2 linked regions of the Nothobranchius furzeri genome follow. The protein of the gene in region 2 interacts with the protein of the main gene of each other region in a biochemical or structural test. Links are inferred from orthologs where the notes say so. Each region holds a gene or a part of one and is shown on either strand. Other genes may lie near its edges.

What was found.
Region 1: the proteins of wee1 (region 2) and pin1 form a complex in vitro, tested with the Homo sapiens proteins (2 studies listed by BioGRID, with this or other methods). The link is inferred for Nothobranchius furzeri from reciprocal best matches to the Homo sapiens genes WEE1 and PIN1.

The regions. Positions count from the first base shown.
Region 1 is NC_091744.1:9,163,003-9,166,653, reverse strand, and holds part of pin1 (peptidyl-prolyl cis-trans isomerase NIMA-interacting 1), read right to left. Parts: intron 2,015-3,651; coding exon 1,932-2,014; intron 804-1,931; coding exon 695-803; intron 614-694; coding exon 503-613; intron 1-502. UniProt on the Homo sapiens protein: Peptidyl-prolyl cis/trans isomerase (PPIase) that binds to and isomerizes specific phosphorylated Ser/Thr-Pro (pSer/Thr-Pro) motifs.
Region 2 is NC_091744.1:46,647,485-46,651,706, reverse strand, and holds the start of wee1 (wee1-like protein kinase), read right to left. Parts: upstream 2,949-4,222; 5' UTR 2,144-2,948; coding exon 1,622-2,143; intron 1,210-1,621; coding exon 995-1,209; intron 628-994; coding exon 561-627; intron 1-560. Other genes in the region: znf143b (zinc finger protein 143), read right to left, coding at 3,346-3,429. UniProt on the Homo sapiens protein: Acts as a negative regulator of entry into mitosis (G2 to M transition) by protecting the nucleus from cytoplasmically activated cyclin B1-complexed CDK1 before the onset of mitosis by mediating phosphorylation of CDK1 on 'Tyr-15'.

The DNA of each region.
Region 1 (3,651 bases), about 37 Mb from region 2:
ATAAAACATTTGATAGTTTCTGCCTGCCGTTGCATTTGGTGTCTCGTTCCCTTTTACTTGTTATAAATGAGTTTTTATTTTTCCACACAAAAAGCTGTGTTTTCTGATTATTTTAAGTTTACAATCTGAAACAAATAAGACTTCCAAAACATCTTGGTCTCTATAAACCAGTTTCTTTCATCTACAGACAGTTATATTAAGACTTTCAGAAAAATCTTCACTTTGATTTTATTGTTACTTCAGACTTATTAGAGGAAAACTTTTTGGGGTATTACAGTTAAAAGCAAAACTATAACACCGGGAGAAGGTGTTGGTTTTAGTAAATAACCAAGTTAAGTGTTGAACCTGTCCCTTGCTCTCACACACACTCGATGTTTAAAAAAATAATAAAAATCTACACAAACATTTATCCTGGGAACAAAGTCCAACTGATCCGAATGGCTACAAATCTAAACAGAGAACTAAACTGAATAGTCCGACCCAGATCGTGATGTTTTAATACCTCTGCCAAACAGTCCGAGATCACCACCGTTCTTGGCTGAGCTGCAGTCGCTGAACTGTGAAGCTAAGGACTCAAACGATTCATGTCCAGACTTGATCTGTTCTATGTACTCTGAGCAGGAAAAAAGGACATGAAACGATCAGACTTCTGCAGAGTGACACCTCCGTTCCTCTTCTGCTTGGTCTAACTTACTCTGAATGAACTCCAAGGCCTCATCTTTAGTTCGTGTAATATTTTGTTCCCGCCAAGAAGATGGACGACGCGACTGATTATGTTTCACCAGGAGGTGAGAGCAGCGGACCTGTAAGAAAAACACAAAAATGGCCGAGAACTTTCATCGAAAGAGCTAATCATCAATCACCTGACCCATTAAGGATCCATTTTATTTTTCATACTAAGCATTAAGCACTGAACACATGAAATCAAAAGCATTTTGAAAGAAGCAGTTATAGAAGATGACTGAAAAGTTTATGCATCATTTTTCCATAAACAGCCTGTCTTGTCAAAGTCAGTTATTCAGTGCGTTTACATGCAGCCAGTAACCCTTTTAAAACCCGAATATTCACAATAACCCGGTTCCGCAGGTCCTTGTAAACACCACCAGAAACCCGGATATGCTCATAACCGGGTTTTTAAAAACCCGGTTACTACACCTGGGGTAACCCTTTTCTAACCCGAATGTTTGGTCGTGTAAATGCATACCGGGATATCCCCATCAAAGCGTGTGTTCTGCGCATGCTCTGTTCGCAAGGAATCTTGGTCTTTTGAGTAGCGAGACGTCTTGTATGCGCCAGAACACCAGAAGTAAACAAGTTGGGAGCAACATGGCGAGTCGTGGCACAGCACCACACTTTGAGTGACGAGGAAACTAAAGCGCAAACAAACACGGTCGCTATCTCTTCCGAACTGGGAAAAATTTTGTTGTTTTCACGGATACCAGAACAAGAAGAACCGGAAATGATGCATATTGCATCTGGACGTAGTCCACACGTCCTGACGCTGCCCCAACGTCCGCATTTACATCGGGTTATGCAAGTTAGGGGTAACTCGTGCTTGTAAACGGGTTATTCTGAACAACTCAGAAACCCGAATGCCGACCTTAACCCGATCATAACCCGGATATTGGCTGCATGTAAACGTACTCATTGTGCAGCCAAACTGATTCAACTAATCAGGATTATTTCATATTCAGTCACAGAAAACATACTTCAGCATTTTCTAAACTGTTGAATAAAACAGATCCTCCATATCAGTCTCTTTGATGGGTACTTTAAACCAGCAACACAAACTTGGAAGTATTCAACTGAAAACAAATTTCCTTATGTTTTGTTTTTGCCAAGTTTATTTTAAATGTCACATTTCCTGTTAAATAGTAGAAAAAAAATCCAACTTGTGTAATTAAAGTTTATTGTTGTTGTTATTGCAACACCTTATCTGGCTCTCCACGGCCGTCTCCCACTGGACGTTCCCACTGGCTGGCATTGGTGATGTGATTAAAGTAGTAAACCTTGCCTGCAAGAGAAAAAACCCCATAAATGTTTAAATTTCAACGTGCATCTATATTTTTATTACAAAGGTTACAAGAAAAGACAAAAATGAATAGTTATTGCTCACTTAAACCATTAATAAACAATTTTGTAAAGAGAAAAATGCAAAATACTTTATGTTTATGTATTTAGCAGACGCTTTTGTCCAAAGCGACTTACAAGTGATAATCGGCATGTTGCCCTTGAGGCTAACAACAACAAAAACAACAACTTGACATCAAGACCACAGAGAAAATATAAAAATAAGCAAAGTTTTAATCTGTGCATAAAATTTTATTTTGTTTCTTCTCTTTTTCATCACTTCCTTCTCCATTCTGCTCTTGCAGCCATACTGCATTTCCCCTGGGATCCACTAACTATCTATTTTTTTTTATTCGGTTTCTTGTTCCCTTTCCTCCACATTTTTAATCGCAACTTTTACTTTGATCATTCCATTCCATTCCATTCCATTTATTTGATAAAGCACATTTAAAAACAGCATGTGAGCTGACCAAAGTGCTGTACAGGGGTAAAAACATATAAGGTTAAAAGAATAATATAAAAGAATAAAACAACTAGAGCAAAACACAAAGAACCAACAATGAGAAGTCAATAAAATCAGTAAAAGAACAGTGTAAATAAACCATCGATAAAATAGCTAGGTAGTAAAAGCAAGAGAATAAAAGTAAGTCTTTAAGTGAGACTTAAAAACCCCAATGGAGGAGGAGAGTCTGATATGCAGCGGGAGATCATTCCAGAGTTTTGGAGCGCAGACAGAAAAAGCTCGTTCACCACGGGTTTTGCAGCGTTGACGGGGAATCTTTAATAGGTGTAGGTCACCTGAACGGAGAGTCCTGCCTGGCACATAAGGAGTGAGTAACTCGGATATGTAGGGTGGTGCTAAGCCATTCAGTGCCTTAAAAACAAACAATAAAATTTTAAAACGTATACGGTAGTGCACAGGAAGCCAGTGAAGTCTTGCTAAAATGGGAGTGATGTGCTGCCGACGGCCAGTATTGGTCAGAAATCTTGCTGTCGCATTTTGTATCAGCTGAAGGCGAGATAATGCGGCTTTTGAAATGCCAAACAGAATTGCATTGGAGTAGTCCAACCTTGAGGTGATCATATTTTACGATATTTAAAAAAAACATTTTTGTCCAAATGAAGAGCCTTCTTATTTTTATCTTGAGAGGTGCTGAATAAAATATTGTTCCTTCTTTCTTCCTTTAACTATATTGTACATTTCTATTTTCTGCATGCTGACTGAACCTTTGAGATCCAGCTGTAAATCCAGATTAAGACAGAGGATGCCAAAATAAACAAATAAATAAGTAAACGAGTGGGAAAACAACAGCTTCTTTCTCACATTTGAACATTTTTTTGTTTCTATTATTGACATGAACGTTTACTATCTATGCAGGAGACTTGTGCCTTTGCCAGAATTAAAAACATACATAAATTGCTCAAAATGATCTAAAATGCCATTGTGATTTCACTATTTTCAGCTAGTTTCAACACTTTTTAAAAATGAAATGAATTAAAATCTCAAAAGTGCCAAATGCGATTCAAGCCTTTCAAATTATTTCAAGCATTCCTATGAAGTGTTGACTTTGTGGTCACGTG
Region 2 (4,222 bases):
AATGCAGGATTGAGACAGGGAGCATTGTGTCATCGACCGCAACGCACGCCAGGATTCTGGTCGCTGTGATAAAATCTTTAACAAAAAAACTTATTTGAAATAAATTTACATTCATTGCTGCTTCGTCTAAAAGTTTCAGAGCACCAGCTAATCGTCCTAAAATTGACAACTTTCATTAGAAAATACATATTTTCAAAAAAGGCATTTGAGTCTTTTCTCCTGCTGCTACGGATTGTAGGTAATATCAAGGGTGCAAGTGAGAGTATTGAGATTGGGCCTTAGACCCACTCCTGTGTATTTCAGACCCAATTTTTATCAGATACAAAACAGCCACTATTTTCAACTACTGGGCATCATTTAATACATTTTCAACAACATTTTCATGGATGTTTCCAAAGAATATTGGTAACAACCACACGTCTTTAGCACAGGTCATGATGGCATGTTTTTTTTGAGATCTTCCAGTCTACTTCACGCCATTTGTTTGGGGTTAGGGGTTTTGTTTCCACAGTAAAGGGTCAAAATGAAGAAATCTATGAAGGGGTAAAAGTTTCATTTACCTTCGATGGTGGGAGGACTTCATCCTTGCCTTCACCGTCACTTGCCTCCATGTCTTCTCCACAGGAGCTGAAACAAGGGGATATTTGGTTAGCATTCTATCCAGCAGGGGGCAGCACAGTGCCTTCACAAGCACATGTCTGAGTTCATCAGTAACCATGAGGTCTTGACTTCCAGCCAACACCCCCTAGTCCTAATCAACAAACGGCCTTAACATCACTGGTCTGCCTCAACAAAGGCCTCATTGTGTTTTACAAAGAACAGGTGCAGCTGCTCGACCCTGCTCTGCAACGTGTGATGATCTCTGGCAGCACCTCAGGAACAACTAATACATAAAATAGATATTTCAGCTGATCTGGTCCTACAGAACAGTATCTTCATACATAACAAGTACTGACAAGATAATCTAGAATCTGAGAACCCCTGAGCAACATACTCGTTCCAGTGTGCTCTCTTCCTGTTGTTCCTCTCCTGTGTGGCTGACTGGATGATGAGGGAATCGGGGGTGAAGGGGTTAAAGTTGACCAGCGGGATGTGCGGTCTCCTGCCACTGTCCGAGGCTGGCTTTCTTGGAGACTCAACATTTTTAAAAAGAGCAACTCTTCTGCTGGAGGATCCTGGTGCAGAACCTCTGGCTCTGGAAAGCAAACTCTGCAAAAACAGGACCAGTCGTTACTAAACGCACAAAACAAAACATCTGCTTGAACTCACGTTGACTTGATTTCAAATAAAGAGTAAAGTTTTGGTGTCTTGTCTAATGCAGACATGTCTGGACATAAAGCTGCATGGACTCTGACCAACAGGCTTATGCAACAGGTACATTAATGGGTCACCGGGCTGATACCAGACTCTAGCGCAGTGAATGGGCTTTTGGAAGTTTTACAACAAACGGATGTTTTATATTAAAACGTGCGCCCCTAACAGGGCAGCTTTTAAAGCTAGCTGTGAATGAATAGATCAAACTTGCAAAAAATGAAAATAAATAAAAAAAATTCTTAATGTTTAGTAAACTCATGTTTCTACGGAGACACATGAAGATGTTGTTGTCTACACAGATCCTGACCTTCGGGGTGTGCGGCGTGTCAAAGAGCCGGAGTTTCCTGAAGGTTTTGTGCGGAGGTGTGTCCGGGCAGTCCGGGATCGGAGAGCTGGATCCTTCTCCGTCGTCCTGGAAGCTCCTTCCAGCTTCAGGCGACCCTCCGAACAACCGGGACACTTTCTTGGATGACGGTGAACAGTTTTTAAAAATAACACTGCTCGGTGAACAGTTTTTAAAAATAACACTGCTCGGTGAACAGATTAGAGACGGGGAACCGAGACTCTCCTCGTCCCACAGCTCCACGTCGTCGTCCCCACCGGACTGATTCAGGGGGCTGCAGCTGCCCTCCAGCCGCTTCCCGACAGTGTCCCGTCGCAATGGCGTGGGGGAATCCATCTCCGTGAAGCCGGACTCTCCGCCGGTGCTGTTGTTCACATCCTCGATAGGGTCGTCCTCTCCATCGCTGGAAGTGAACTTTAACTTCTGACGGATGGGTCGAGACTTAGGGGAGGGGGTTCCGTGTCGATGGCGACTGTAACTCGACATTTTCAAGATTTAAACCCCGAGATTATCGACCAAAAAATTAAAAAAAAAAAAAAAAAAAAAATACCGGGGATACCCACCACAGAAAAGTAGTCTGCTTCTATTTACCTTCACGTAAAGGTATCGGTTAAGACGTTTTTTAATCTCCAGCGTTAACTTTCTTCTTGCTAACTCCCAACAACACGGGGAGAAACGCTAAGAAATGGCCTCTCACGAGCCGTATTCCATGTAACGTCCAAAGTATTAAAGTAAAAACGAATAAAAGTACTCAGTCCGTTAACTCCAGTGCGGCTGTCCGGTCCACCGACGTCCCGGTGACTCACCGACGTCTTTCCTCGATTAAACCTTACTTATGTTTACAAAAAGTTTTGAATGAGTCAAGCAACGAGTTCTTCCCGTGACGCGCGTGGCGAAGAACTTCCCGCGACCGTTGGTCACGTGTCACACCGCAGCCAATCAGAGCTTGCCTCTGAATTTTGAAAGCTGGGCGTTCCAGAGCGATTTCTGGTGGATTACGTCATAGATATCAGCAAAACAATATGGCGCGAACGTGTGCCTTTTCACGACGCTCACATTGCCAAGACAAAACGCGAAGTCATCAGGCGGCACGATCAAACAAGCCTCTGTTGTGAAGCAACTTGAAACCCAATTACGTTAATCAAAATTACGTTTATATTGCCGCGAATTTCAAACGAGTCAAACTTATCGTTCCTTTTTAGAAGAAATATTCTCACTGCCAAAGGTGAAGTTATACAGCAGACTGGGTGGTGTGGTTTGTAGTGGGAAAAAAAAATCCCAAACTGAATCATCTGGTTATTTATAACACTGTAAGCACCATCTCTTAACAGTTGTCTTCCATTGTACCCTTTTTTGTTGATGCAGCAAGTTGTTTATTTGTTAGGAATATTCTAAATGAACCATTTGGTATGGATCTCTAGCCTCTTCACCTGCAGAGTGGAGCAATAGTGATGGAAAGTTAAGAGTCACAGATTTGTTTACAAATAGCATTTACTGTACACTTTTAACATTTGAAGGCATCCCCCAAATGTTTTTATGAGGGGAAAAATACACAACATAATTCAGATTATTAAAATCCTATGTACACATGAGAGCAACTTTCATCTGTGAAAACAAATAGAAGGAAGACTCATAATTTCTCCCACTTATAAAGTTAAACAGTCTTTTTTTTGTCCATAAGGAGTTCATCAATCATCCAGGCCTGGTGACTCTCCCTGCTGTATCCTTGATGCTATCCTAATGGCTTCCTCCAGCGACGGCTGATCAGTCAGCTACAGGAAGAAAAGACAGAAAGCAGCATTACAACAATATTTAACACAGACTGGTGTGTATTACTCTATCAGGGTCTTTTGTTGCATTTGTTTACTCTAAACCCATCTTTAAACTGATGATGTTACAGACGGTTGTATTTCAGGATAGGGAAGACTGTTTTGTAATTTACAAATACAATAAATAAGTTCACAATAAAAAAGGCCGATTATCAGACTTTGATCTAATTAGTGTGATTAGGGATTTATGGCTCTTTCGTGGGAGTCGTTCATTAGTCGGTCGTTTACCTCAAAGAGCCGTTCAAAAGACTGGCTCCTTTGAAAGAAGCGAAGCAAAGAGAGCAACGTGTTGCGGCGGTGTCCGTGAGGGTGCACGGGGTTGTTTAGTGCTCCTCCTACGTCCGTGACAGTGGTGGGTGGTGTTTGAGCGGCTGCGCTTTACTGACTTCTGGGGAGGTTTGTTACCGGAAGACAAGATGAACAGCTCTCTAGAGGGAATCTGCTCTCATCGTTCACTTTGAAAACCCGTTCAAAAGATTCGATTCGTTCATGAACGTCACACCACTAGAGCTAATCATGCCCCCCACCCACGTCCGACAGGCCTGCTTTACTACATCTCAAAACTCCAACCATAAAATGGATATTAGTATTTTGGAGGCATGCTGGTGGCTTTCTCAGATCTGAATTAGAGGCCGGCTGATATATTCAGTTTTTTCTATGTCGGCCAAAATTATTTTAAAAAGCCGATAAAGTTTTTTTTAATTTAAAAATCAGGCACCTGTGTGGCCAACTGCCG